7 linked regions of the Xenopus tropicalis genome follow. The protein of the gene in region 1 purifies or fractionates together with the protein of each later gene. This does not show direct contact. Links are inferred from orthologs where the notes say so. Each region holds a gene or a part of one and is shown in the gene's direction. Other genes may lie near its edges.

Region 1 (4,126 bases):
AGAAATCAAAAGGGAACATGAGCAAAAAGTAGTTTGAAAACTTTTATCCTATTAATTTAAGTCGTAGAATACACAGGGATTATGGTATCAAGTAAAGCATTCAAAGTTCATATGGGTGTAGATTTTAGGTGTCCGTGTATCACCCCAAATTAACCAGTTGATACGAATGAATTAAACAACTCCAAGCAGTATTAACAAACTGCAGTATTTTTTATTAGCAGTATAAGCACACTGTGGGGCATATTTATTATACTGTGTAAGAAATGGCGAGAAAATTCGCCGGGCTTCGCCGTATAAAAATGGCGTTAAAATGGCGTCATTGTTTTACGCGTTTTTTCTTCCACCAGAACTTATGGAAAATAACTGCGTAATATCCGCCGTTAAGATGGCGATCTTTTCCACTTATTTTACACAGCTTTTTACTGTTAGTTTTACACAGCATAATAAATACACCCCTATATGTTTTGGGCAGAGCCCTTTCTCAAGTGTACACTTTTTCAAGTGAAACTTGAGAAAGGGCTCTGCCCGAGTTTGTTAATACTGCTTGGAGCTCTTTGATTAAATTGTATCAATTGGTATAAGCATTTCACAGTGGAATGCACAACCATAGAGTTTCATCGCAGGCAAGGGGGAGTGAGAGAGATGAGCAGAATGGGAGGATTTAGGGGAACTCAGCTTGTGTATGTGTGGTGAGGTAATGCTTTGAATCTATTCATTTGCTGCACTGAATTTATTGGCATACCTGGGGTAAGTGTAGTGCTTGATTCATGATCCATGTCTACCGTGATATTAATGTCTTGTTCAAGGTTAATCTGATCATTGTCCATTTTCTGACCAAGCTGAATCCAAAGCAAAAATTAAATGACTTTAGGTTACATGATCAAGGAAATATATTTAATTATTCTGATTTTCATACACACATTCCATCATGAACCAAGGATTTGGAATGGGCAACTGTCAAACCATAAAAGACTGAGTTTTTTGCAGGAGTAAAATAATATTATGTTGAGGTTGACATATTTAATTATATAGGTTATTACAAAAGGCACTGCAATAGAATACACCAAGGATTACCACATCAGCATCCCATTATACCTCATACTGTCATAAGTGGTTACACAGTTGTGTAATCATCTTTGGTGTATTTAGCATTGTGTGAAATACTAGATTAAAAAGAGAAATGTTTTGGTTTTTTTTAACAGGAGTGTTGATTGTCTTAATTGTCACCACTTTGCATAGCTTTCTACACCCTTTATATGTCCGAATTTTTTTTTACCATGTGATTTGTCCCATTGACTTGATTGGGATACTCCAGCTCCGAGGTGGTGTAATAGTGAAATATATTGGCCTCAGTCTGGAGTAAAATCACTGACATGTTGATTATAAAGATTTAATTTATATACCATTTGATATATCTAATACAGCATATTGTATATACATGACTATAGCAATAAGAGTTTGCCTCTAAGGATACATGCTGGTAAAAACACACACCAATATTCCCCATGTCTGCGAATGTATGCTGTGATATCAATGGTATCAGAGGCATCAGGCAAGATTTTTTTTTTTTAAATAGGTTGATCTGAGCAAAGTCTGACAGTTCACCTTGTATTCTTAAGGTGACCATACACAGGCTATAAAAACTGCTGATGTCTGATTTTGGGGCCCCCAGATGAGCCTCCCCAACCGATAGCTGTCCAAAAATCGGGCATGTTTAAATATCCAGTAGTGATGAGGAGTGCATCACCACATCAATTCAGTCCTCATCTCGATGGCCTGTATCCCGTCAATTCGATGCGACGGGCCAAACAATCAAATCAATCTGATGTCGTCCACCTCAAGATGGACATATCGGTGACAGATAAGCTCATTTGACGACCTCGGCAAACAAGCAGATCTTCAAATATAAAGCCACTTTTAGTCCATTCTCCTACTGGAGTTGTATAATCTACTGTATATACCCACTAGTAAACAATAATTTCACACTCAAGAGACCTGAGATTCAAAATAGGCTCTAGTATTTTTAAGTGCACAAATTCACAAACTGTCCCACACAGGCCTAGTATAAAACACCTTTATTTATAAAACGCCTTTATAAATGGGAATGGTTAGTCCTGTTCTGTTATCTATCATCCGGAGGACCTGCTTTCCTAAGGACTTCTATTCAAAAAACAAAACTTTTGGGGGGACAACTGCCATAACCTCAGACATGACTCTTTGCATCCTGAGATGAGTTGGTGTCTACTTTTTGTTGGGCAGCAACCTGATTCCTGCAGCATTTAAAGGGAGTGTTAGATTCTGGCAGATGTTCTTGTAGACACTATCAACCAAGTATTTTAGTGACAGGTTGGTGCAATCTGCACATCCTATTTTCAAAATATAGTTGAATTCCAAAAAATTCAGGGATGGCTGGTGGGTTCTGTAACGCACAAAACTACTAATAATGCCACCGTCAGTGAGAAAGCATATGTATCTCAATGCATTATGGGAGTCCCATAAAATTGTGTGCCCTGTAGTAGATGATCTGCTTGTCTTCCACTTCCGCCATTTCTAGTATTTACTAAGCTTTACCAGATAGTAGGAAAAGTCTGTGCTTGTTCTGTTTATGATCATTTTCTCTCTAGGATATATCTGCAAACATTTGTTTCTGTCCTTTATTTAGGCAAGGCACCTTTATATTTGTGACTTTCACAAGAACTTAATTCAGAGTGTCAGAAATAGAAGGAAAAGGAAAGGCAGTGATGATGATGGAGGTGATTCCCCTGTTCATGACGCTGATACTCCTGAGGTATTTATGTTTCCCTCCTAGACTGTATATATTGTACATAAACTAAATGTAACTTTTAGCCTTTTTATTTTTTAGAAAGCTATAGAAGCAACTGCATTGTAACATTGCTGTCTCGCATTGCACTGCTATCATTACAAAGCTCCCCCTCTAGCTGTGCAAAGCTTCAATTGTTGAATTGTCAAGACATTATCTAATATGCTAGGGTTTGTTCAGGGGTAACTCTGAGGCCATAATAGTTTGTGAAGTAAGATATTGTGTGTCAGATATTCCCTAGATCAGCTCTGCCCAACATTTCCTGTGTAGTGCGCTAATTATCTGACATAGTAGTTATTTGTAGATTAGATTATATCAAAATGATGATGTACATGGAGCCATTGGTACAAATACCAACTCATGGGCCTCCAAATGGGCACTACTGTTCTGGATGATCAAAAATCTAAGGTAATGAAATGTTGCATTATATTGAAGAGGAAATGTATTTTGGACTGGGTTTCTTTCCTGGCTGGGTTCAGTGATTTTGTAAGAAAGAGCTATTGCTCCACCCTCTCCTTAGCAACCCTATTCTCATTATATAACTGTCAAATGAGTCAACAGCTGAAGGGAGAGACACTGAAACTGTGGGCAGATAAATGTATAAAAATACTGTTCAACATTAAATGAATTCTTCTAATAAGTGTGATATATTTTTATTGACTGTACTTTCTCTTGAAGACAAAATATCTATGTTTACAGATATTGGGTATGAGAGTTGGTTGGCTCACACAGTTAAAGGAATACTGTCATGGGAACATGTTTTTTCAAAACGCACCAGTTAATAGAGCTGGTACAGCAGAATCCTTCACTGAAATCCATTTTCAAAAACACAAATAGATTTTTTTAAATATGACATAGGGCTAAACATATTCTTCATTTCCCAGGGTGCCACAGCCATGTGACCTTTGCTCTGATAAACATCAGTCACACATTACTGCTGAGCTGCAAGTTGGAGTGATATCACCCCCGTCTCAGCAGCCAATCAGCATTAAAATGGGAAGGCAGCAAGATAGCAGCTCCAAGTAGATATCAGAATAGCACTCAACAATAAGAAATCCAAGTCTGGCTTAGGACTCCTCCAGATACATGGGAGTAGGAGAAACAGTAGGTTATCTGAAAGTATTTCTAAGAGTAAGAACCCATGGAGTGAGTTACTCGTCTGTGATAGATTTCTGCTATGGCGGGCAGGTAACCGTTCCGAAAAAAGGGTTTCCACCGGCAAAGAGGAAACTTGCGCGAGTTTGAAAAACCAAGTAATGTGAATGGCTTTCCACCGAAGACTTCTATTGTTGCCAGTGGAAACCC
Region 2 (4,126 bases), on another chromosome or scaffold:
TTCAGCCATTCAGTTGCAAGGAAAGACCTCACTGAAGTTGATGTCAATGTCCTAAATTCGGAGCATTTTGGAAAGCAAGGTAATTTAATGAGCACAACCCACTTTTGGGTTGATGGCAATAGAACAACTTTTTAAACTTGTAAATCATGTATGACTTATTTTTCTGTAATATGTTTATAATTGTGAAACATTATTTTTAAAATTGTATTCTTCTATAGGATACACAGTTGGAAAAATCAGATCTGCAATTGTCAATGCTTTTTAAATTTGCATATATATTATCAAGATATCAGCATTATTTTTAGGAGTTAAATATGAAAATATGCTTTACATATACTTGATCAGAGGTAGTTCTATGTTTAACAATACATGAGTTATAGTGAGCTCCATGCCAATTACACATGATGCAGAAAATGTACCTTGAAAAGAATATTCAATGCCAAATGTAAATGGGACTAAAAGTGGTGGGAAAAAAAAAATCAATAATTTGATTTAGTCATCATTTCACTGCTGCCTCCTTAAGCACCTTTAAAGAAACAATGATGTGGGTATATCAGTGTAAATTGTTTAAACCTTACAATCTATTCACTGATTCCAGTTGAGAGCCCTGGTCACATTAAATGATGTAATTCTAATTTGTCCTCCTTACCTAGTCAGCATCAGTAAAAATGTTGCTTTGCAGAAGTGTGACTTTCTATGACAACATTTTCCAGCACATTTTGCCTGTTTTTATTTTTATGTTTTTTTTTTTATATTGTGTGCTGGTGCTTAGTGAAAACTTTCTCTTTGGCTGGGTTCTAGGTGTGCAGGATGCCATTGCTTTCTTGATCTCCAAGACAATCCCTGAAAAATGGAAAATGGACATGAATGAAATCCTTGAATCTTCCAGCAGTGATGAAGAAGATGGAGAGGATGATGCTTGTGACAGTGATCAAAACAAAGAAGAGGAGGTGGAAACAGAGGTAAGACTGCTTACTCAGTGGAGGGAAAATGTAGAATTCTTGGTTATCTCCGTAGCCTACAGAGCACAGGCTTGATGAGAGTATTTTGTTGTGTGGAACTTGCAAATTTAAGTATATTCCTGAAAGATTAATGGCAAATAGTGAATGAGGTATTAAAAGTATTAAAATCAAACCGTTGTTAGAACTAATTTAATACACTGGAAGGCCTTTTCAGAAGCTTGAGCCAGAATGGATTTCCAAGTTCAACATAACACCTGATGGGTCATTGAGCCAGCCATTGAGTTATACAATAGCTGCTTAGCCAAGGTTATAGCTGCAGGTTTCAGCCAGTAACATTTTTTTACAAAACTTGATTAAACAAACCAAATGGAAAGTAAATACACATTTAACAGTTAATGTTTCCATTTGTCAAACCCACGGGGAAGATTTAAAAAAAAAAAAAAAAATATGAAGGTGTACTGGCCCTTTAATCACTTTCATATTATACTAAGGCCACCACATAGCAACCACTGTGTACATAACTTATAGGCTAGGGTAAGGGGAGGGAACTTGAGAAAATATCCAGCTTCTTGCTGTGTTTTATATTGTGCCCTGTGTTTGAAAAAACTCTCTCGCACATTAGAGATTAATGGCTTACAAAAAAATGCTGCATGGAACTCGCTGCACTGAATCCCACACTAAATTTCTCCATGGCCAGTTATCTTTTTGTTGGTCTGTACTATGGCTCATGTAGTAGATTCATGTGTTTCTTAATTGTGCATTTAAAATCGATTTGATGGTTGCAGACCAGAGAACTTAATGCACCAATCTAAATGGACACATGAACAATACAGTACTTTCTTTGGCTCTTGATATGCTGCACATGCACCATCTTGAAGGGACACAAGGGCTATACCTTGGATGTCAAATAAAATGAGGGCTGCAGGCTGGAAGAAGCCAGTTGTCTGAAGTGTGACACTAAGCCCCCAAATACCCTAGTTATGGCTTTTTTTTCCCCAAACAAAATGCTTGTTGTAGCCATGGATAGACAAGGTGGCCCAGAACACAGGGAAGGTGTAGAGGGTTATAAGTAAGTAAATCATGCCTGCTGGGTGCCAGAGGTGCTGTGGCTGTTATTGCAGCCAACCAAAATCAATGAAACGGAAGCAGTGCATTATATTATTTCTCGCAATAATGTAAGATAATATTTTAGACTTATTAAATGTCAGTAGAATAAGCAATATCTTAGCAGAGTATGGGAAAGGATTTTTAGTGTAACTTCAGATCAAGATTGTCCTTGTTTATGAACATGCTCTGTAAAATGGGGAAATCTTTGTTATTACGTTGTGCAGGAAGTGCTTTGCTTGCAGCTTTAAATGTTAATTTGTTGGGGTGCTTGCCCCAGTGACCAGACTATGGAGGACTGCAGCACCCATGTTCCAGTTTAATCCCTTTGGCATTTGGTGTTGGTGAAAATAATCTTCATCATTATTCTGGCAATATTCTGCCATTAGTAAAGCTAAGTGTGCAAACCCTGTAGGGCAACCACTGTCATTATGAACTAGTGTTTTCTTACGGCTGCTTTTCTTAACACTGAGCCACTTTTTGTAACACAACCCTTAAAGTGAACATTCAAAAAAACTCCTTTAGAATGTTATACTTTGAGTTGCATGTTAACATGTACAGGCCTTTAAAGGATGGTTTAATAGTAACACTATTGATAATTGTCAGGTGGAGGTAGAATTTCTATTGTTTCTACCTCTATATCTGACGATTCAGCCCTGAATGTCAATGGAAGGTGGGAACGATCTTTCCTGCAACTAATGGTCGTGGGAAAGATCGTTATTGCTACATGTAAGGCCACCTTAAGAATCCTACAATTTACTTTTTGAAGTGAAATTCTGAACTAGAATTTGCTTTGCTGTTATTTATGACATTGATTTATCTGTATGGCAGAGGTGTTACTTATCATTTAAAGGACAATAATCATGAGAAGATACCTGTCTGAAACTTAATTATGTGTACTATGAGTTAATCAGAGGCTGGATAATTTAAGTCTCCCTAATTTTATTAACATACAATCATGTAGTTTGTTACTTGTGCTTTATTTGCGCCCTGGGCAAATATTTTGTCAATACACAATTGGTTCAAAGTGAACAAGGTTTTGCTTCCTTGTTGGAATGTTTTTCCACCTCCCTCTGAAGGATTATTTATTTATTTTGTGTGCATGTTTGGGTTTCAACACACAAACATTTTACTCTAAAAATGAATCTGGAGAAAACAAACCTGCTGTTTCATCAGTGCCTGTACCTCTTAGGCTGATGCCACACATGGCATAGGGCTGATTTTTTCGGCAAGCGGAAAAACGCTTGCCGAAAATTCAGCCCTACGCCTGCTACTTGTGCCTGCACCCGAATGAATGGAATACGCTTGGGTGCAGGCACATGTAGCCGATATACGCATGAAAACGCGAGACTTTGCATTCTCTCGCATTTTCATGCGTATATCGACTTGCCAAAAAAATCAGCCCTACGCCACGTGTGGCATCAGCCTTAGGGCTCTGGCACACGGGGAGATTAGTCGCCCGCCACAAATCTCCCTTGTCACAGGCGACTAATCTCCCCGAACTACCGTCCCACCTGCGAAAATGTAAGTCGCCGGTGGGATGGCACATGCCTCGCGAGGCATTTTCGGCGATTTGCCAAAATCGCCTGTGCAGCGTGTGCCATCCCACCAGCGACTTACATTTTCGCCGGTTGGACGGTAGTTTGGGGAGATTAGTCGCCCGTGACAAGGGAGATTTGTCGCGGGCGACTAATCTCCCCATGTGCCAGAGCCCTTAAACTTATTCCAAATTTGTTAAAGTTTGCTAAAATGGTGCTTTGTGCATCTTTGTCTTGTCATTTTATGGCTTATGAAAGTCAGAAGAGAAAATCATCTTCGTGACTTGTATTATTGCAAGTAATACAAAGAAAGTGCTTTTCTGCTACCAGTTGCTGCCTGTTCAACAAACATAAAATCAATATTTTTAAACATACTTTTAATATATGAAGCAATAATGGGCAAATTTTAACTTTATAGCCCTTGGTGGTAATTCTTTGAAGTTTTCCTTCAAAGAAAAATCAGATCCCAGCATCAAGTCTTCAGTTTAATAAGAATAATATCACTGCAAAAATACTGTGATT
Region 3 (4,561 bases), about 120 Mb from region 1:
ATGGGCAACACTGGTGTGTGAGTGAGTTTGTTGTATTAAACATTACTAAATTACCAGTGGCTACACTAGATTAGTTACCAGCAGTAAGTTTTTCTGGTTGAGGATTATGTCATTTTTCATACTAAAGTTGTTTCTGTGTGTGTACTGCATACTATAAAACTAAAACAGCATTGTGCATCAGGCAGGACTCTAGCAGTCCCTGGAAATAGCATTTAGGCTACATACAGTTGAACATCTTTGCTCCACCTTCTGCCCAACACCCATCAAAATTTGCCAGGGGAATCACAGTCAGTCAAAGAATGTCCTACATTGTTTGCTTATTTGACCATATACATGAGGAGGAATAAATGCAAAAAAAATCCCTAAATCTTGACTTTTTTTGCTCTTTGGGATACTAAGCCTTAACAACTTTACTACTAACCCATAACAACTCCACTGTGTCAAGAATGGCAAGCTTTAAATATGTATTTGTGTATGAAATACAATTTTTAGATTAAATTCACCTACTTTTTAACAGGGCCACTTTAAGGTACCAGCAGGACCTGGGCAAAATTTAACTGGTGGGCCCCCAATGTCCAAGAAATTTGTAACAGAATAGCACATGAAGTTTAATATAAAGTGGCAGGCAGTGAAGAAATGGTCTGCGGTTAAGTAGACATGATACCCAGGTGTGCCGCCACGGACCAACAGCCCTGGAAGCAGAAGAATTACAAAATAGTGAAGAAAAAAAGGCAAAGAAATTAAAATAACCATAATAAGCAGATCTTTCAGTTGATTACAGTGAGGGTCTGCAATATCTGGTTGGTGCTTCTGCCAAAAGTGATCCCAGACGAAAGTTGTGCTAGTGTGACCCCTATGCTGGTGATCCCTGGGCAAGTGCCTCTTTTGCTTATTTATTAAAAGAGCCCTGCATTTTAAGATGATTGGGCCTGCACTATATTGGGGTATTAAGCTGACCCTTACCTGCAGGGGCCCCTGAAGCATACAGGGCCCAATAAGATACTATAAGTTTTAATCAGTGTTTATGAAAATTGTGTTCTTCCTAATGTTTGAGGGCCTTTAAGTGATTTTACTTTGGGCCCTATAACTATTCTACATCGCTGCACTCAGCCTCTCGGAAGGCAGCACCTATATGGGCAAGGATTCAGAATAAGCAAATGCCTGATTTCACTAGCAGTACCACAGCCAAGAGTGTAATGTAACTCTGATAATGAAATAGTTGAGCCCTAGCCTTTACCAACTACCCGTGAGAACAAGCGCCAGCACCAAGAAGCACAAGCATTACACCGAGAGAATATGGAGCACGGGGGCGTAGAACAGGAAAGTGGGTCAAGCAATAAAAGTAAATCGGGCAGCTTTATTTGCTCTCCGGCTGGCTCCACGCTTTGGCAACATTGCTGCCACCTGCTGACGGATTGCGAGTACTTCGCCACAAAAGAAGAAAGGAAACGAACCAAAATCAAAGGCTAACAAAAGGGCGACTTCGGTACATTAGTATTAAACACATATAACTTATAATTCCCAAACCAGGGCTTTCCAGCTGTTTGCAGCATTCTGGTGCCGGAAGTTTAGACCAACATATACCGTCGCACCGCTGATTTGACAGCGCTCCAAAAACACATTACTTAGCAACGCCCCTAAGGTAAACGTACCTATACGCGAAACAGAGCCAGACTCGGCCTATGGAGTCAGGGCAATGCCTGTAGCGGGACGTATCATACATATAGCAATACTCTCCTATAAAGGCTCAGATTATTTTTATGCAACTGGTGACATCATTTTTGCGCACAAGTGTTTGCTTTCCGCTCTTATAATGCGCCGCGCTCCCCGTTCGGCCTATGTTTATTATCAGGCAGGGTACGGGGCAGCTTGTGAGGAAGTAGCGCTATTGGAAGCCTGAGAGGACCCCGTTGCCGTGCGGCGCTTGTTGGTTCATTGATGGGAGGCGGGTCTCCCGGGTATGGGAAGCGGAGTGCTGTGTTGATTCGGTACCGATAGGATTTACGGCTGCGTTACTGGGTGTAAGTGTGTTCGGCTTACTGCTACCCCTGTGAAAAGAAAATGTCCTCGGCTGGTGTGTTGTCTCCTGCCGCCGCGGCGGCGGCACCTGATTACTACGAGGAGGACGAGCTGGAAAGTGTGGAGGAAGAAGATGACCGAAGCTTCAGGGGCAGGGAGTCTGATGAAGGTAAGGGGGCTCAGTCCCCCAACTTGTTTATAAGCTTTGTATTGTTTGTTTTTGTAAGAACTGCGATTCCCGTAATGCATTTTTTTTATCGCCATTGCGACATGTAAGTAATATGTTAAACACTAAAATAAAGTGGGTCCCAACACTTCCTAAAGACAACTGCAACTTATATCGGTGCGGCACCCCAAGCCTCATAATCCTCCTTGTAGCTGGTCCGGGATATTAATGTTGCTTAAGCTCATTTCGTGGGACAGTTTGATTATTAAATAGGCCGGTCATTATAGGATAAATCCAGTGACAAAGCCCTTTTAATTAGTTATGTATTTTCATTATGGTTTTGATGAATAGTGTTTATGGAATGTTATTTGTGTTTATAGTAAGCAGGAGCCTTTACATTTCTGTCTCAGCTGAGACATTATCATTTAGTTCCTGTATAGAAACATTACTCCTTTAGTAGGATTTATTCTTGCGCTGTGGTAATATTGTGTTGAGATATAAGATACAATGATATCATGCTGCTGTTATTTTCTCAGATACAGAAGACGCCAGTGAGACTGACATTGCAAAACATGACAATGTTGACTATGTGGAAATGAAAGAACAGTATGTATACATCTCTCTTCCTTTGCCTCTCTGAGGTCTCTGCATCAGACATAAGTGTTTAATGATATAATCAATAATCAAATCAATGATTAGCTTCTTGCACAAACAGGACACCCCTTTTCAACATAACTACAGTTAGACATATGACCAGTGTCCACCAGGATACCAAGAAAACTCCCGGTGGGCCTAGGTGTCAGTTGAGCAAGCACAGACGCTATAGCTTGGAGCTTCAGTAAATAGTTTTGTTGATCTTTCTTCACCCCCAAACCAGCCATAACAACTTAAAGGACATGTAAACCCCACACACAAAAATTTAATCAGTGAACCGCTAATTTGAAATCTTTGAATACCTGCCACACTGCTTGTCCAGAGGTTAATAGTAAAGGTGCCCACACACGTGAAGATCCACTTGCTTGGCGAGGTCGCCAAGCGAGCGGATCTTCTTTCGATATCCCCACCTACAGGTGGGCGATATCGGGAAACATGTAGGCTAATCTGATCGTTAGGCCCTGGGGCCAAGCAATCGAATTAGAATGGCGGCAATGGGGCAGTCAGTTCAGGGACTGCATCAACTAGTCGATGCAGTCCCCGATCCGACTAAATCTTTTAACCTGCCCGATCGATATCTGGCCAATTTCAGGCATGCCCCTCATTCCTGCCCCTACACGGGCCACGGGACCGATATCAGCAGCTACAATCGGCCCGTGTATGGCCACCTTAAAGGAAAAGTAACACTAAAAGTTTTTAACTAAAAAATCTATTCTACCCTCCCCCAATAATTGCCCTATCCTGAAAACCATTTGTTATTTTGAATGCTTTAGTAGAAAATACCTGTAAATCGATTGATCAAGCCTAGCCTGACTTCTGTATAGGAAGGAGTCAGGCTAGGCTCGATCAATGGATCGCCACATAGTTGATGCATCTCCTGATGCTTTCGCCGGCATCGCCGTATCGCCTTTGTTCAAATGACAGGAAGCCGAGTTTAACAGGTATTTTCTTCTATAGTATTCAAAATAACAAATGGTTTTCAGGATAGGGCAATTATTGAGGGAGGGTAGAATAGATTTTTCAGTTAAAAAATGTTAGTGTTACTTTTCCTTTAAGGCTGCAATATCTCTTTAATCACTTAGATTTCCTTCTCCTCCTGTAACCCACTCGCCCCCCACCTTCGGGAATTTGCTTTGATTTCTGGCTTGCCAGACATGCTCAGTTGTTCTAAGCTCAGATTACTAAACACGCCCTCCAGTCTAGCAGCCAGTAAAGAGATGGCATTGCTGGTTCCCAGATTTAAATGCATCAGAGGAAAAAATGGCCATTGGGTGAAAGCTGCTATTTGCTTTAGAAAAATGTGATGGTGCTGGCAAGCGGAGGGGATATATGCAGTACAAATGATGCCATTTGGGTGGGGGAGACATTCCCAACTGATATACATTGTAGGCAAATGTAGGCTTTGCATATTGTATCCTAAGATGATATTATTTATTTATTTTTTTTAATGTTCCTCTGCCGGAATGATGTCAGTATTTGTAAATTATATATCCATTCTGGACTTGTTTATAGTTCTTTGCTACTCCCTTTCTCTGAAACCCCGTTAGGGGTAACTTTTATAATCTTTGCGTGTCAACAACTACATAATATAATTTAGTCATAACCTATTCAGCATTAAGCAACTTATCCACTGCAGGACTATCTGTATATATTATTTTTTAAATACATTTTAGCATGGGGAATCAGTATTATTTGATATATATATCAAGGATACATTTTTAT
Region 4 (4,126 bases), on another chromosome or scaffold:
ATTGGAATTGGAAAGTTGCTAAGAATGACATTTTCTTTCATTACACAGACTAGTTTTTAGGTGAAGATGTTCTAATTCTCATTTTATAATTAATATTTTTCATAGCTGCTGAAAATTCTGCAGAGGACAGTGAAACTGATCACAGTAGCCTGAATATGGACAAAGAAGAAAAGGCATTTCACATGAATCATATAAGCTACGATATCAATCAAAGATTGGATGAAAACAAAAGCTTCCCTTTAACAGAAGGAAATTGTACTGGTCTTGATCCTATATTGGCAGTAATACCTAGATCCCCTGACTTACTAAAAACAGTGGAAGATTCTTCAGACGATACAGACTATGAAGTAGAGTCTGCAAGACAAAGTAAATACTTAAAGAATGATATAACTAAGTCACAGAATAAGCGTGGTAAAAGAAAATACACAGAAATGGGAAAGGCAAGGTCCCCTAATGGCAATGAAGTGTATTCCAAGTGCAATGAAACAACTGATAGACTTGATGCAGGTAGTATGACTTCCTCAGACGATGAGGAAAAATCTAACCCAAAACATGCATTATCAAACAAGTACAATGGTTTTGAGGACAAAAGGAAATCTTTGCGAACAGGTTTCTATACAGGCTTCTCAGAAACACCTGAAAAAAAGATTAAGCTTTTAAATAATTCGGAAGAAAGACTTAGAGCCAAAGACCGCAAAGACGTTTGGTCAAGTATCCAAGGCCAGTGGCCGAAAAAAACTTTAAAGGAACTTTTTTCAGATTCTGATACAGAGGGTGCCACTTCCCCATCTACTAGGAATCAAGATGAGAGTTCCTCTCTTCAGCAAAGTCATGACAACATTAGAATGTCTTCATCTGAGGTGTCTAAACCAGAGAAAGATAATGGACTAAAGCCTGTTGATGAGAGAGCTGCTGAAATAAGTGACAAAAAAATTGACTTTCCCAGTAGTGGTAGTAACTCTGTATTGAATACACCCCCAACAACCCCGGAGTCACCTTCTACTTTAAGTGAATGCCAAAAACAACAATCAAAAAGTGACATTTTAGATACTTTAGAACCAAATCAGGAAGAAGTTCAAAGCATGAAAAGTGAAACTGATAGTACAATTGAAGTAGATAGTGTTACCTGTGAACTGCAAGATCTCCAGTATGAAGGGCGATTTTCACCAACAGGATTTGATGCAAGTATAAGTTCTAGTAGCAGCAATCAGCAAGAACCAGAAAGTAAAGAGAAAAGTAAGTGACATGAAAATCTATCTTTATTAATTTTGTCTTCATGTGGACCCAGAATGATAATTGATTTCATATGCATCAAGTGGTATATGTTTCAGCAGTGTATGACAGTGCATGTTTTGCATTCAAAGGGGCCATGGCAAAATGTATTCTGAATTATGTGTTGGTGATTATTAAACAGAGCTCTCATTGGCTGTAGGGCAGTATTGTTAGATCAATGTATACATGCTGAGAAAGTTATCCTGTGTGTGCATCATGGGTGTTTTGGGCACATCATTAGATGTTGGTCTGTAGCTCTGTGATATACATGTGTAATTCCATTTCTTTAACATCTTATAGGATTTAAGTACTGAAATTTTGTTAAATAGAATATTTGTAATGGTATATTTCAGACACATTTTCTGAACTAAATAGACCTGATTTGAAAATCCCCAATTTTTTGAGCATGTCAATACCAAATATAAATAATTTTATAAATGTTTCTGACACTTACAGATCAAAAACCCCTGGCAGTGCACTACCAACATTTTTAAGCTCTGCTCCATGAATTGGAATACTTTATTACACTGCAAGGTCATGGTAGGTTTACCCCAAGAAACCATATATTTGTCAAAAGTACACATTCTGACAAATACAAAATGATTAAATATATCTTGTATTCCAAATTTTGCAAAAGTTTTTATAAGAATGTCTGAATATTCTGAAAAACTTTCAGATTTCTTATCTTACATGTAATTATGTACCAATATAAAACACTATAATGTATTTATAGTGCATAGGTATACCAAAAGTAAAATGATTCATGAAACTTGTCATGGTGGACAAAAATCAACACGTTAACTGCATTTTTGATGGAAACATTGTCCAGAACTGCAGCATAAAATGGAGTCTACATTCTGTGCTACTTTAACCCTTAAGTGCCACAGAATGTAAAATCTGCATTGTATGTATAGTAAATGCTGGCTGCTACTTCTTAATAGAGCAAAAACTGAACATTTCATTTGTTCAAATCCTGAATTTGTTTTATAGAGCCTACATCTCTAACTGTAATTTCTTAAATTTTTTTTCCCAATGGTGGAGACAAGGGTGTTACAGGGGAACTGTCACCCAGACATAAAAAGCTGTATAATAAAAGTCCTTTTTTAAAAAAACATTAAACATGAAACACAGGCAATTAGGTTCACTTTCCATTCTGCACTTTATTGATGTCATTGCACTCCTATCTACCTCCTCATGGTCTATTATTATGTATCCTGTGCATGGACATGGGCATCAGGTTCCTTACTCTGGTGGCTAAACAAGATTTTGTGATAATGCAAGTCTTGTCTTAATGTTCACAAAATGTCGCCTACCTGCTTGCTCTGATTGTAAACTCCAATACTGAAGGAAACCAGAATTATATAATTTATATAGGGGCAGATTTATCAAAATGAGTTTACAGCTTAATACATAAAAATTGACCCATGTTATATTCACTTTAGTGGGATTTTTAGAAGTGTATTTATCAATGGTTGAAAAATTCAAAAATCACCATTTGATAAATACGATTGGTAAATGAACTTCTTCACTCTGTGTGTTTTGTTTGTATATGTGGATATAAAGGATAAAAAAGCTGCTTTATTGTTCTATGTACCAATGCAGCTTCAACAGTATCCTGCCCAGCCCAGCCCAGCTTTACTTCCCCTCTGCACATGTTTGCTGTTGAGAGGTGTGGCCTTGTGACATACCACAGCGAATCAGCTTTTACTTTGCTCTGTCACTCGCACATTTCTGTGTCACTGATGCAGACCAGGAAGCCAGAGATTCTGGAGGGTGGGGGGTGGAGGCTGCTTCAATAATTAGCCATAACTTTGTAACAGTGCAAAATGTTTAAAAGCTCTAAATTGTCAAAATGCTTGTTAAGACTTTTTATTTTCAATATTATAAAAACATTTTTCATGACTGTTCCCTTTTAAAACTGTGTCAGCCCAGGTGCAATTACACAGAGTGCATTTCGCATTGTTCTGCATTCTCGGCCTGCATTTATCTGCAGCCTGAAAAGTGGGAGTAGCCTTGCACTCAGTTTGGGAGAAGAATGTGAATTCATTGGAGACTTAGGCTAATGTCTGACGGGGCAACTTAGACTTTTCAAAGTTGCGCAAAGTTGCCTGCAGGAGGAAACTTTGCACAACCTCGGAAAACCGAATCAATGCATAGGCCTTTCCACCGGCGACTCCTGTTGTTGCCGGTGGAAATGCAGTTCAGAGTGGTTAGTCACCTGTGCAGTAGCAGAGATCTCTTGCGAGCGACTGACTAGCTTTGTAGGCCACCAGCCTTAAGCCATACACGCACCAATATTATCGTACAAAACCTTGTTTCGTATGATATTTGGTGCGTATATGGTGGCTCGAAGAGGCGACCAATATCGCAAAGGCTGCAGATATCCACTGTCTAGGGAAGGGATCCCCAAACTTTTATATAAATGAGCCACATTTAAATGGAAAAAGTGTTTGGGAGCAACACAAGTATGAAAAAGGTTCCTGGGGGTGCAAATAAAAGCTATAATTGGCTACTTAATAGCCCCTATGTGGCATTATATTTGGTTTTTATAGTTTTTAAGTTTTTATGCAACCAAAACTTGCCTTCTTACGAGAAATTCAAAAATAAGCACCGACTTTGAGGCCACTGGGAGCAGCATCCAAGGTAGTTGGTGAGCAACATGTTGCTCACCAGCTACTGGTTGGGGAACACTGGTCTAGGGCTATGTTTGGGGCTGAATCGGCAGGTGGAGGTAGAATTTCTATTGTTTCTAAGTCCATATCTGACGATTCAGCCCTGAATGTCAGTGGAGGGTGGGAACGATCTTTGCTACGTATATGGCCATCTTTAGGCTGTTATGTTATTGCTCTTTATT
Region 5 (4,837 bases), on another chromosome or scaffold:
TTTGGCATTTTACTGCCTATAGATTTGCCACACAAAAAAGGAGAAAAGATATCCTGTGTTTCTTTTGATAGAGGACTCGGTGCAGCATTACTGTAAGTGCTTATGGCTGTATTTACATAGATCTTTCTGATAAAACTTACTTAGTTTTTACCTTTCCTTCTCCTTTAAATAGCCTTACTTTAGATGTAGTGGGTACTAATGTATTAAAGGACTGTTAACATACATAGGATAGATACAAAGCAATTTTAAGGATTTTATACCTGTTTTAATCTACAGTTACGGGTCTCTATAGGTCTGCAGTATGTTCTGACCATTGGCTAGGTCAGATCAGCCCAATTTGGACCGCTGAGGGGTGGTCAAAACGGGGCTGCTTCTTTGGCAACAGGACCAAACAAGCGGATCTCTGAGGGAGTGCTGCAGAGCATTTGCTTTCTTCCACTTCTTCATTCTTTAATGACCCCAGGCTGACACATGCACAGCAGAGTAAAAAAACAAACAAAAAACCCTAAAACCCTGCTTTTTAGTAAAAGCTTGGCATTTCATACTGTGCATTCACACCCAGAGCAAAAAAGGGAGACGCAGGAAGATGATCTCTCCATAGTGCTTACTCCCCACTTCTCTGTATGGGAGTGGGGGGGGGGGGGGGGGGGAAGAGAGGTTTGTTCGAACATGCGCACGGGGGGGGGGGGGCGGTATTGGTGAATGGGGGGCAGCCTCAGAGCGCCCAGATTTCAAAAAGAATGTTGTGCACGTGTCTTTGGGTGCCTATGTCGAAATGTGCATTTGTTTGCAATGATGAGAAATTAGGTATTAATGATGATGAGAAATCCTGGACTGCACCATTATATCCCTATAAAAGGACACAATGTTAAATGAAATATACATTTAAAAGAGTTACAAAAGCAAAGCCGTTTCATGGTATCTATTATCCAGAAACCCATTATTAAAAAATGTCCAAAATACTGGAACGCCACTTCCCTTGGAATCCTATTTAAACAAGCAATTATTTTTCTTTCTTTTTTTTTAATGTTTCCTTTATCTCTATAATAAGAGTACTGTGTACTTGATCATAACTAAGCTGCAGAAATCCAAATTAATCATATTGGGTCTTACTTAGTGTTCTTTAGGAGCCTTTGGGAATGGTACTCCATAAAGACTCCTTGTCCAAAAATCCCAAGCATTCCGGATAACAGATCCCACACATGCACAGCCGAAATCCTATTCGACCGGATGGACACTAATACTAAATATCCATTAAACCTCTACCAAACCTAGGCTTCTATAAAGTACAGCTTCAAATTGATAGGAACAAAGGTGGTTGATTACTATAGCCTGACGTCTTCTCTGTTTATAAACCGCCCGAAAAAGCACGCTGCCTCGCAATGGCCTTCGGAATTTGTAGTCAAATTTCCTGCCGTGTCATCCAGTAAGTAATAAAGACGAAACTACATTTCCCAGCAAGACGCAGGGTCCGCCCTTGTTCTTTCATGGAAACGTAGGAGCGAGTAATAAGCGACGGAAGGGTTTTGCTGTGGCCTATGGCTAGTAAATGATGCGTGCTCTTAAGCCAATCGTAAGCGCGAACGAATGATATATGGGCGGAGCTAAAAATATAGTACCGTAGAGTGGCCAATAGGAAAGGAAAGGTGGGTGCCGGCGCGGGTGGAAATTGGGGTCCGGAGAGGCGCAGTTTTAGGACGGAGGGAGTGAAAGCGAAGATGCCGGTTCATTCACGGGAAAAGAAGGAAAGTAACCACAATGATATGGAGGTTGACTATCCGGAAAATGAAGGCACTAGTTCCGAAGAGGACGATTCGGATAGTTCCAGCGGGAGCGAAGAGGGAGACAGCTCGGGTAAGCAGCTGACTGCTCCAACACTGCTCGCAACACGCACATCTACACGGCTGCACTACCGCCTGTGGCCGCTAGTTGTTTCATGGTGGGACGGCTGCGGGCTCAGGGATTTCACATCCTGCGGATCCCTGGTACTTGGCTAGTTCAGTGATAGAGCGGCCACCAGTGGAATAAAGGCGCTTTGCTGTTCTTCCTTTGCCGCAAAGCAATGCTGTGCTGTGGTGCAGTTATTCACAGGGACTTCTTGGTTATGGAAGCTCTGTCTTTTCAATATGAGGCAACCCCCCTCACATCTTGACAGGCAAGGCACATGCTGGATGTGATTCCCCTCAGAACAGTGATCCTTCCCTGTGTATCGGTGCCATTGATTTCCATTCATAGAACGTATCAGTGTGTCAGTAGCCATTTACATCTTAGGTCCCATTATCAAAGGTGCCTCTTGGGGTAGGAAACAAGTGCTAAAGGCATATTGTAATGTAGCAATTGTTTATAGGTAAGATAGAGATAGAAACTTAATGGACAGTCAATGTTTTTGTGAGATCCTTCTTCAGATGTTAGTTTAAAGCAGGGATCTTCAACCTTTTGGACTCATGAGCCACATTTAAATGTAAAAATAGTTGTGGAACAACACTAGCATTCAAAAATTTCATGGGAGTGCCAGATAAGGGCTGTGATTGGCTATTTGATAGCCTCTATGTGGACTGGCAGCCTCCAAACCAAGAATTCAAAAAATAAGCACCTGCTTTGAGGCCTCTGGGAGCAACATCCAAGGGGTTGGTGAGCAACATGTTGCCCCGGAGCCACTGGTTGGGGATCACTGGTTTAAAGAGACAGTGAACCCCCCTCTGCACTAGTGCAATGAATAGGCTTGTGTTGAACACTGCCTATTGATTTAATCACAAAAAATCTATGGATTTTATTATTACTTGAGCTAAACAGGGAAACTAAAGTTTAGAGTAACTAAAGATGAATTACCAGGATACAGCCCTTGTCTGTGCTTATGAAGCAGGAAAACATTATGCAGGGGGATCGCCTCTCGACCAAAGCACAGGTCTCGCAGGCTGATTCTCCCCCACATTTATAGGGGAGAGTTCTCCAAGACACATTTTTAAATATAAAAGACATTAAAGTCATTAAATCAGGGATCCCCAACTTTCTATACCCATGAGCCACATTCAAATGGAAAAAGTTTTGTAGAGCAACATAAGCATGAAAAAAGTTCCTGGAGGTGCCAATGAGAGCTATAATTGGCTATTTGATAGCCCCTATGTTGACTGGAAGCCTACAGAAGGATCTGTTTGGCAATTACACTGGGGTTTATGCAATCAAAACCAGAAATTCAAAAATAAGCTGTATCAGGAGCCAATTAGCCCGCATGGTTTTAGCTCTTGGAAGAAAACCAACTTTGCTTATAGTGCCCTGTCTGCAAACCTAGGCCCACAGAACTCTGATGTAGGCTGCCCCTTTCTCTTCCATTCAGATCATCTTGTTCATTTGAGAATTTTACCATTTGCTTTGGGTGTCTGTCTGTCTATCTATCTCATCATGTGCATGCTGAAAACCCATAAACAGAGGACCTCTGTAAAGCACCACAAACAATACAGATGTTTACAAAATTTTGCTCCATCACTTAAGTTGGCCACACATTCTCTTTAGATGCCCCCTTAGCTCATGTTTGATGCATTGGCATATTGTAAGTCAAAGTAGCTGCAGCAAAGGTCAGTTTATTTGGGCCAAACAGTACTGTTTGGCTATTCACATGTATATCCAAATAATATGAATTGCTGGTGGAAAGGCAATGCATAAGCCTTTCCATAGGTGATTCCCTTTATTGCCAGTAAAACAGTTTCTGAGGTAGATTCGTTGCCCACAGTAGCAGATATTTATTGTGGGCGACTAATCTCCTTATGGGACATTACCCTTAGTCCTTCTGCAGGCAGGGCATGAATTTATGTAGAGAAGGAATGTGTTTTGGAGTCTAGAAATGTAAACCTGTTCTTTTTTGTGCTTGCTGAGATACTGAGGCCTTTTCATTAGCAAGAAACAGGAGCTCACACCTACATTGATTGATTGGTCTGCTGGATGTTGGATTGTACATGATTTTTGTCTTGCCCATCACTAGTATTTGTAAGCTTCTTGAAAGAGCTATTTTAGCTTCCAGACTAAAATTCCTTCCTGACCGACAGATGCCTGTGGGTACATACAACGCTTCACTTGTAGTAGTGGTAAATTACCTTGTGTAAAAATTGTCTGTAAATGTATGGCTTCTCTCTCTGCCCTATCGATATTTCCATTTACTCTCTAGAGGAAAATATTCTGTGAACATAATAAAAGGGCTCAAAATGTTGCTGTCTAATTGGGAAAATTACATATGTTTATATAAAAGGCATTGTTCTTCTTTAAATGGGGAGGTGTACCCCTTTGTTCAACATGAGTTCTTTGAATGGGGCTTATGCCAAACATACTTTTTGCCTATTGTTTTAATCACAAGCGTCTACATATTTTGTAATTCCTTGAGCTAAACAAGGCAAATGGGGAAATTGAAGCTACTCTATGGTTGGTCCTAGCAAGGGAGATCATTTAGATTTCCAGTGCACATATAATCCCCTCCCCCCCCCCCCCCCTTGCATAATGGACTCCTGCTAACAAAACAGGTATAGTGGTGAATGGAGAGGATTATATGGTGGTAATCTAATTATCTACTTCACAAAGACCAAACATGGAGTAGGCTCAATCTCTCTGTTTGCCTGTTTAACTCAAGAAAAAACAAAATCATAGATTTTTCTGTAACTAAAACAATAGGAAAAAATATCTTTGTCACAAGCCAAAATTATTGTACTCACATTGAACCAAGGAGATATACTGCCCCTTTAAAGCAACTTCTACCATGGTGAATATTTGATAACATTCTCTTGCTTGTGATGGTACTTTTAAAAGTATATTTATTTTTGTTGTGTAGCCAATTCTCTACAGCAGTGCTGTC
Region 6 (4,589 bases), about 63 Mb from region 1:
TAGATTAATTTATTGCACATCTTAATATAATAGCAAAAATCTGCCAATAGGCTGGGAAGAATTCAGGATACTAAGTGCTTGGTCAGATTAGGCTAAGAAAGAAGCAGCAAAAAAAAAGCTTCTTGAAGGGAACAAAATGAACCATTTCGAACATCTGTTGACTATCATAAAAATATTGGTTATATCAGATCTGGGTAAGTCCATAATAAAAGTCTTGGACTAGGGGCGCTGCTGCCAAGAGGCGTGTTGAGATACTCAGAAGGTAGCTCCCCGCATCGGCTCGTTGAACTGTAGACTTTTGTGCATATGCCAATTGAGGAGAGGGGGAGGTCGAGGATGAGAGAGCCTGGGACTCTAAACCTATTTTTACAAACCAAATCTATGGATTTTTTTTACATGGGACTGGATTTTTGAATACCCTTAAGCCAGCTGCCAAAGCCCACTGAAACAAGCCCACGCACACATACAGGCCACAGACATGTGCATGCTCATTTGAACCTATCCACTCCCAATCCTGCTCTCAGTCGCTAGCTCCTACTGGCAGCACTGGGCACCCAGTGCAGACGTGGAAGCATAGTGTGCCACCCTAGGCCCAGGCCTTTCCACAAATCTATGCCTGCTTCTACAGCTGTATTATTTAAGCCATGATTATAGAGCTATTACTAAGCACAAATACCACAGGTTGAGGCTGGTTGTTTGACATACAATTACAAGCTTCCCTAAACATTATAACTGTTTCCAGTGCTTAGCAAACGAAAACAAGCTGAATACAGCTCCAATTAGGATTCTAAGTTATTGTCATATTCACACTACAGCAATGTACCATAGCAATCAATGATACAGAGCTGTCAAGTCAACCCCATCCAACTTTCCTGGACGTTAACAGATTTTGGACCTCTTTCCCCAATCTATTTTTACCCAAATAATTATACTTTAGGGTTCACACCTAGCTGTTAAAAGCTTTGTAAAGCCTGCTGTATTTGGCTATAGGTTACTGCTCACATACTACTTTGCTCATTGACAGTATAAATAAAACTGAGTGACATAAAGCAACACTGGGCAAATCTACACCTGCTGGGCACTGACCCTTAGCAACATATGCTTGCTTTAATTGAATTGCCCGCAGTCAGCCGGGAAGAAATCTATTCACTGATTGGCTGGAATGCTTTCCGCACTAAGTATAGTTGGATATGTGTAATACGCAAGTGGACCGATCTTTTGCAGTTTATAAATGCCTTTAGAGGGAGCTGAAAACTTCATTCATTAATTTGAGCGTCCCGCTTGCGTGCATAATTTCCTACTTCCTTTCCAGAGGAATTAACCCCGCCCTTTTTTGACCCAGTACCCTAGCCGAGTTCCCCCCCCTTGTCGCCAAATCACGTGATCTTGACATCACAGCAGGCCCTTCACTCTCACAGCGTTAGAATATGGTTAAGAGCGATGGTTGCGCCGAGTGCGTCCCCGCCGCCCGGAATATGTGGGCGCGCACTGGAACGCGCACGCAAGGTACGGATCATGGGAAACCTTCCTTCATGTATCACCGGACGTTGCTTCCATTGCTCAATCTTGGTAAATAATTCAAATGTCTCAGCATCCTTTTCAGCTTTGATTGCAGTGCAGAGGGTGGGCTGGATCCGCACGGTGTTGAAGACTGCGTTGAAGCCGAATGATTTACTCGTTCGGGGTTGAAATAGAGAAAGGGGCGCGATGATAAACCAGGCCAGTCGGCAGAAATACAAAATTACACGTACTTTTCTCCTGTCTCTCTGTGTGTGCTGTGTATTATCAGTCAGCTCGTCTAACATCCCGCTCCAGCGTCGCGTCTATTGCCATTCACTTCGTGACCCAATTCTAATTAATATCCAGGTTCTAATCTGCTCCTGTCACTTCTAATGCGCTCTTCTATCATACCCGTTGTTGTAAAGTGCTAAAGGGATTTGACTACATCATAACTCGATCATTCCTTTTCCTGTAGCATTATATATCTTTATTGTCTCCCTCATTGCAACATCATTTTTGTGTGTAGCCCCCATCACATACATAGTGGCTTGTGCTGCTTATCTTGTTCATCAGCATACCTTATTATGGGTACACAATGTGCATGTTAGGGGGAGGGGGGTATTCCAATGTAGTCTGTATCTGCTTTCCTTAGGTTGTTAAAAAAAAAAAAATGACAGTGTTACGGCCACCCCTGATAAAATGGCTCATTACTTGGTCTACTGGCAGTTTCATATGCCTCGGGCAAGAAGAAGATGCTCTTTCTGGTGCCCATGGGGTGAAACTAGAATAACTGAGGCAGAGATGTGTTTTTGTTAATTGCTAGAGGGATGTGAGTCCCTTAGAAGCAATTCAGATAAAAAAAAGGGGTTGTTTGACGATGCAAAGAAATCTGCTTGGTTAGGTATTTAAACCTTTGGAAAATGTTTTGTGTGTATATATAGGTGTTGTTTTTTAAACTAGAAAAAGCATGATCCCACCATAAGCCAAAGGCTGTCAGAGGTCCTATTTGTTGTTTAAATACAGCTTCTGGGCTATAGGATGATTGCCTTGAGCCCAAAATACCTGAGCAGACTATTCAGTTGCCATGGGGGGGGGGGGAGGGAGGAGGGAGGGCGCAGTGATGATGCTTGAAACTATTGAAATATAGGCTATACCATCAAGTTTAAGGGTGAAGAGACACAGAGCTACTAGTAGCAGCTACTTGTCGTGGCTACTAAAGTAGACAATGCTGACCATTTACTGATAATTGTATCTACATGTGTTTTAAGGTCCCCATACACGGGCCGACTATAGCTGCCGATATCGGTCCCTTGGACCGATTCGGCAGCTAATCGGCCCGTGTATGGGCAGAACAGAGCAGCCTGCCCGACCGATATCTGGCCTGAAATTGGCCAGATCTCGATCGGGCAGGTTAGAAAATCCAGTCGGATCCGGGACCGCATCGGCTCGTTGATGCGGTCCCCGAACCGACTGCCCCATAACCACAAATGTATTTTTTTTTTAAGTTTCTTGCTACCCGATATCGCCCACCCGTAGGTGGGGATATCGGGTGAAGATCCGCTCGCTTGGCGACATCGCCAAGCGAGCGGATCTTATAGTGTATGGGCACCTTTAGGCACTTCTCAGCATTGTCTATGGCAGGGTATCTTCTGGTGTTTAGTAGCCATGAAAAAGTAGCTGCTAAAAGTAGCTCCCTGTGTCTTCACCCTAAGCACCCAAACGAAGACCATTGTACTTAAAGGCACTGATACAATCTGCCATCACCATCGCCCATAAAAAAAAAAAAAAAAAAAACAGATAAGATAAAATCTTTGAGAATAGCAACATACTAAGGCTAATGCAGGCAACTTCATGCAACATCAGAAAATGAAGAGGCACCTACGCTTTTCCACAGGCAAATTACTTTGTTGCCGGTGGAAAGGAGAGAGAAGTCGCCTGCTGTAGCAGAAATTTATCGTGGGAGACTAATCTCCCCATGAGACATTACCCTTAGCCCTCAAATGCAAAGTGCCTATTTTGTCCATCATCCATAAATAAGGCCCATTGTGTTTCAAGCTTGTAGAAGTATTGATTTGATGGAACAGGTGTTAACTTGCTCTTGGCTCTTCTATAAATTTGTTTGTAAATGTCTGTATCTCTATTAACTAATTATTTTGTTTTAAACTATGAAATCCTGGGCAAAATTATCAATGAAAATGATCATTTTAAAACATGAAAAAGTATTTTTTAATTGTGCAAGATGAATTACATTTCTATTTTCTCTTTTTAGGAAATATTTGCAGCTGTTCCTGGTGTCCACAGGGAATTCTGAAGCAAGTGCTGGATCATGCTTCCCCAACTCCAAGTGCTTAAGCCTTTTATTAGACTTTCTTCTGAATAAGCCATTTCACTACTGTACCAAATTAAAAAAAAAAAAAAAAAAAAATGGCGAGTGGTGGAGGTGGTGGTAATTGCAAGCCAAATTCAAACTGGAGCAAACCTCAAGAAAAACTCCCAGTGCATGTAAGTATAGAAAGCAACCAGTTTGTTCCTATTGATCATAGATGTGTGTGCATTGTTACCTTATTGATACCTCAAGACATGATATTGTGCGTCCTTCTTTTAGGCTAGTGCCACACAGGGTGGTTTCTCGGCCTGAGAATCCACCCCTACACTCCAAAAAAGCTTTTGGTTGTTCCTTCACCCAGAGCCATTATGTTGGAGTTCAGTGCAATAATGCCCCCTTGTGCAGTTTTGCGCCAAATTCTGCTGTGTGCCTGTACCTGGGCTGGTGCAATGGCTCCTGGTGTAGGCACATTCAAAAGCTTTTTTTGGGCGTAGGTGCGTTTATCTGCATGCCAAGAATCTGCCCATGTAGCATTAGCCTTAGGTGTCTCTTTTACCCCAAAGTCATGCGTTCATTCATTCTAAACACTTGATATTCTCCTCTTTAAAGAACAATATACCCACTTGTCAACATAAGTGCAACAAATAGGACTTGTGCTGAGTATACTTACTGAATATACTGTTGTTGAAATCTAAAAAAAAAAACTATGCTTTACATTATTTTTGTTAGCTAAACAGGGAAACCAAAGCTACCTCATGTTTAG
Region 7 (4,126 bases), on another chromosome or scaffold:
TCAAATGGCAGTATTTCAGGATTTATTCAGTCAATAAATATCATGGGTATACTATAATAAATAAATACTCTCATAGCAGATTTTAATGTAGAACGAAATTGTAAAGTAAATGAAACAAAAAAAAAAAAAAAGTATCATAGTTACATAGTTTACAGTTTACATAAAAAATCACCATGTAGCTTATTGAAATTAGGGTTGGAAATTAAAATTCTTAGATTTTTTTGCCCTGAATGCAGATGTTTGAAATGCATTATTGAAAACAATTTATAAAGCACTTGTACTATCTAAGCCTTTTCTTCTGTAATGAGTTTTGATTTTTCCACAACCATGTTTTTTTGATGAAAGTTACAAGATGGAAATCCTGTTATATCAGTAGCCAGTACGGTAAAGACACACTGCCCACATCAGTGTATTACTTGCTTTCTGCCAGCTAACTGCTTGACACCAATTTGGCGCAAAGACCTGAAAGGCACCTTTTGGTTTTCTCATCCACACATTAAGTCACAGGAAATTTATTGATTTAAGGTTGCCATACATGGGCAGATTTCAGCTTCAGTTTTGGATCCTTCAGACCGATATAGAAGCTTATGTGTCTGTGTATGGGCACCAGAAGGGCCTACCTGACAATTCAATTTCAGGTTTTATTTTCTGTTGGATCGAGGGCTGAATCAGCTTGTTCATGCTGTTCTCGGTCTGACTGCCCATATACCCGCCATTTTAATTCCAATTCTTTGGCCCTAGGGCCAAATTAGCTCAATATAACCCACCTTAAGTGGGCGTGTCGGGAGAAGATATGCTCGTTTGGTGACCTCACCAAACGAGCAGATCTTACCGTGTATGTCCACCTTTAGCTCGTTGGCCTAGTTTTTTAAAACCAGCACATATCTTTAAACTAGGTAAGTGATTTGACGAAGACAACCTGATTGCTTCTTATGTGGATGACTTAAGTTCTCAGTAAATAACAGAGCATAAATAATCAGTAATTTGTTCAGTGGGCCACAAAAAAAGCAATAAAATGTTTGTTGCTGTATTTCCTAATGTAGGAGATGAGATAATACGAGACATGGATGTCCAATCCCGTGATTCAATTGGTGCTGGCACAGTTCTACCATCACGCGACGATAAGCAGGAACCTGTGGTTGTCAGACCTTACCCTCAAGTTCAGATGTTGGCTTCACACCATCCATTGCAACCTGCTCCTTCCCTCAGTATGACTGCACAACCTGCTCACCTAACCTCAGCTGTTCCATTGTCATTCTCTGAGAATATCCTGAAGGTAATAGATTGCTTTGGGTTTTGGTTTTTTTTTTATATGCTTTTGTTAATGGTGGCCTAAAGGCTTTAAAACTGCTTCATTTTTATTTAACGCAAAGTAAGTTTGGCTGTGTGTGCACAAAAAAATTCTTTTGTGCACACATTTTAAAGTTGTATGCGCATTTTTAAAAACAGTGTGCTCAGGTCGGAATAGATACAGTTGTGTGCTTTACACAAAATTCTTTTTAGCGGGAACATTTAGGAGAGATTATTCACCCACGGTAGCAAAGATCTATCACAGATGGCTAATCTCTGCGTGGGACATCAGCCTAAAAGCAGTAGATATCAGAATAGCACTTAATAGTAAAACATCCAAGTCCAGCTGACTCCTCTAGGAAAAAAAATAGGTTATCTGGAAGTAGTTCTAATTTGTAGCACTGGCTCCTTCTGAAAGCTCGGAATCGGGCAGAATGCACTGAGATGGCACCTACACACTTAAATTAAAGCTAAAAATTACTTTTGTTGGTTCAAGAATAACTCTTAAAATGGTAGAGGGAATTATTTGCAATGTAAACAGTGTAATTTAGAAATTAAAAGTACACCATTAAAATTGTGACAGAATCCCTTTTATATATTTGTACTATTACCCTGCACTGGTTAAAGTTGTGTGTTTGCCTCAAACACTACTGTAGTTTATATAAACAAGGCTGGTGTGTAGCCATGGGATAGCTAATAACATTGAAATATTAAACCTGAATGGTATAGGTTACAGAGCAGAGAAGCTCTGTAAAACACCATTGTATTCTATAGAGCTTTATCTGCTTATTAACATGAGTTTTCTTATTTTTTCCAGCTGCCCCTGTGACTGCTACTACAGTTTATATAACAGAACTTTACCAGTGCAGGGCAGCCATATATTATATTTTAATTACTTTCAAACACTAATTTTTGGTGTTTCTACTCCTTTAACATGCTTTTGCCCTCTAAAAATATTTATGCAGATGTAATGGAACCTTTTATTATCAAATGTGGCTTTGTAGAAGGCTAAGGGAGCTATCAATGTAATCCAGATATAATTTTATGGTCTGCTTTTAACTGACATAACAGTTTACCTTTTGTTTAAAAGCTTAATATTTGTATATATTGTACAATAATCATGTGTAATTTGAACAACTTTGCAAAACATAGTAATTAGGTAATCGAACCAGGTTAGGGATTTTATTTTTTTTTTGTGATATTTGCTTTCCAAAGCATTCACAAACACAACTGTATCAGCTTTTGCATATTCATATCACTCTATTTTGTCAATGAAATTATAGATAAAGAGGTTCTTAAAGTTACTTTGTCTTGACAGAAGTTTACTGTTGATGTTTTCCCACAGCAGACTTCAAAGTCTACTATGCCTAGCCGGCCTATTGCTCCAGCACCTCCCTCTGCACTGTCTGCTGTACCAAAGGTCTCTGGCCAAGTGACTGTCACAATGGAGAGTGGTCTTCCACAGACCTCTGCTATCCCTGTGGCCACAATAAGTGGGCAGCAGGTCAGTGCTGTAAAAGATAAAATACTGTACTATACGTTTAGGTTATAGAACAGTGTACCCCTATTTATTGGGGTGTTTGCTTCTACAGACAAACATAGATTTTTTTAAAATTAATTTTTATTGCTTGCTTCATTTGTTGTAACACTCTCTTCCTTAAAAGGGATATATACCATACATTTTTACAATGCACTAAACCATGTAAAATAGAAGTAAGTGCTTTTATTTTAATAACTTTGGGTTCAAATATGTCCATAACTGCTTGAAAACTGTGCTCTACCCACACCCTTTGCAAGCTTCCTGTTTAGACTCCTCAGTATGTGGCTGGGGCAGCTGGCCATGGTAGACTTCACTGACACAACCTCACCTACTTACGGTGCAGTGAATATGCATAGAGTGGGCGGGGCTTTCACAGGCACTCTCCCCCCCCCCCCCCCCCCACCCCTCCTGGCAGCAGCACAAGCAGAGAGACCCAGAGGGAGGAAACTGGGAGGGGTTTTCCCTGCTACTGTTGAGTAAAGCCTGTCAGTCAGTGCTGTGACCACTTCCTGTGGGAGACTGAAGCGACACTCCCATGTTTCATTTCACTCTGGCTTCTGATTAAAGATGTTGTGTATGCAGCTCTCATATAATGGCAGTTTTAGGAGGTAAAATGCTTTCAAAACATCTTTCTTTCTGCATCATTTCACATTTTGAGGGAGTATGAATATTATAACTGAATATGAACTTTATATAAAATGTCTCCTTTAATGCTTCATAAGTCTGATATAATCTCTGTTCTCTGGCTTGATATCTACAGTGGATTTTCCTCTGAAGGCATTTTAGGCTAAAATCAAATAACATTCCTAATTCTGCTAGAGGGCAGGCAGAAAGAAATCACTTAGAGTAGTCTGTAATTGTGTATTTTTTTTTATTTAATACAGGGGCATCCCAACAGCCTCCACCATATTGTGGCTGCCACAAATGTTCAGATGTCAATTATCCGTAGTAGTGCCCCAGGACCTCCATTGCATATTGGAGCTTCTCATCTTCCCAGAGGTAAATGAGTAGTGATTTTGTGACTGATGTGCACTGTGACCATTGCATTTATCCCTCATTCACATTCTGTTTTTTGGTTCTTAGGAGCTGCTGCAGCAGCTGTCATGTCAAGCTCTAAAGTGACTACTATGTTAAGACCAGCTTCAGCACAGATACCTAGCGCAGTTGCTGCCCAATCAGCCACTCAACACATTATTCACCCCCCTATCCAGGTATGTATTTTAATACTACATATGCTGTCTTTCCTTGTTGCAATGTTGTTTAAATTATAACCCACAGAGGACTTGTGAGTGTTGC

What was found.
Region 2: the proteins of sap30 (region 1) and arid4a purify together in Homo sapiens (affinity purification with mass spectrometry; 5 studies listed by BioGRID and IntAct, with this or other methods). This does not show direct contact. The link is inferred for Xenopus tropicalis from reciprocal best matches to the Homo sapiens genes SAP30 and ARID4A.
Region 3: the proteins of sap30 (region 1) and suds3 purify together in Homo sapiens (affinity purification with mass spectrometry; 4 studies listed by BioGRID and IntAct, with this or other methods). This does not show direct contact. The link is inferred for Xenopus tropicalis from reciprocal best matches to the Homo sapiens genes SAP30 and SUDS3.
Region 4: the proteins of sap30 (region 1) and arid4b purify together in Homo sapiens (affinity purification with mass spectrometry; 5 studies listed by BioGRID and IntAct, with this or other methods). This does not show direct contact. The link is inferred for Xenopus tropicalis from reciprocal best matches to the Homo sapiens genes SAP30 and ARID4B.
Region 5: the proteins of sap30 (region 1) and brms1l purify together in Homo sapiens (affinity purification with mass spectrometry; 4 studies listed by BioGRID and IntAct, with this or other methods). This does not show direct contact. The link is inferred for Xenopus tropicalis from reciprocal best matches to the Homo sapiens genes SAP30 and BRMS1L.
Region 6: the proteins of sap30 (region 1) and sin3b purify together in Homo sapiens (affinity purification with mass spectrometry; 4 studies listed by BioGRID and IntAct, with this or other methods). This does not show direct contact. The link is inferred for Xenopus tropicalis from reciprocal best matches to the Homo sapiens genes SAP30 and SIN3B.
Region 7: the proteins of sap30 (region 1) and sap130 purify together in Homo sapiens (affinity purification with mass spectrometry; 4 studies listed by BioGRID and IntAct, with this or other methods). This does not show direct contact. The link is inferred for Xenopus tropicalis from reciprocal best matches to the Homo sapiens genes SAP30 and SAP130.

Annotation. Positions count from the first base shown.
Region 1 is NC_030677.2:48,755,006-48,759,131, reverse strand, and holds part of sap30 (histone deacetylase complex subunit SAP30), read left to right. Parts: intron 1-2,662; coding exon 2,663-2,788; intron 2,789-4,126. UniProt on the Homo sapiens protein: Involved in the functional recruitment of the Sin3-histone deacetylase complex (HDAC) to a specific subset of N-CoR corepressor complexes. Capable of transcription repression by N-CoR.
Region 2 is NC_030684.2:103,539,630-103,543,755, reverse strand, and holds part of arid4a (AT-rich interactive domain-containing protein 4A), read left to right. Parts: intron 1-5; coding exon 6-79; intron 80-801; coding exon 802-962; intron 963-4,126.
Region 3 is NC_030677.2:165,496,792-165,501,352, forward strand, and holds the start of suds3 (sin3 histone deacetylase corepressor complex component SDS3), read left to right. Parts: upstream 1-1,662; 5' UTR 1,663-2,061; coding exon 2,062-2,188; intron 2,189-2,721; coding exon 2,722-2,791; intron 2,792-4,561.
Region 4 is NC_030681.2:55,884,334-55,888,459, reverse strand, and holds part of arid4b (AT-rich interactive domain-containing protein 4B), read left to right. Parts: intron 1-105; coding exon 106-1,236; intron 1,237-4,126. UniProt on the Homo sapiens protein: Acts as a transcriptional repressor. May function in the assembly and/or enzymatic activity of the Sin3A corepressor complex or in mediating interactions between the complex and other regulatory complexes.
Region 5 is NC_030684.2:108,267,445-108,272,281, forward strand, and holds the start of brms1l (breast cancer metastasis-suppressor 1-like protein), read left to right. Parts: upstream 1-1,656; 5' UTR 1,657-1,718; coding exon 1,719-1,854; intron 1,855-4,837. UniProt on the Homo sapiens protein: Involved in the histone deacetylase (HDAC1)-dependent transcriptional repression activity. When overexpressed in lung cancer cell line that lacks p53/TP53 expression, inhibits cell growth.
Region 6 is NC_030677.2:111,954,682-111,959,270, forward strand, and holds the start of sin3b (paired amphipathic helix protein Sin3b), read left to right. Parts: upstream 1-1,496; 5' UTR 1,497-1,569; intron 1,570-1,582; exon of another isoform or gene 1,583-1,719; intron 1,720-3,769; 5' UTR 3,770-3,924; coding exon 3,925-4,002; intron 4,003-4,589.
Region 7 is NC_030681.2:125,410,960-125,415,085, reverse strand, and holds part of sap130 (histone deacetylase complex subunit SAP130), read left to right. Parts: intron 1-1,043; coding exon 1,044-1,276; intron 1,277-2,635; coding exon of another isoform or gene 2,636-2,794; intron 2,795-3,714; coding exon 3,715-3,829; intron 3,830-3,913; coding exon 3,914-4,041; intron 4,042-4,126. UniProt on the Homo sapiens protein: Acts as a transcriptional repressor. May function in the assembly and/or enzymatic activity of the mSin3A corepressor complex or in mediating interactions between the complex and other regulatory complexes.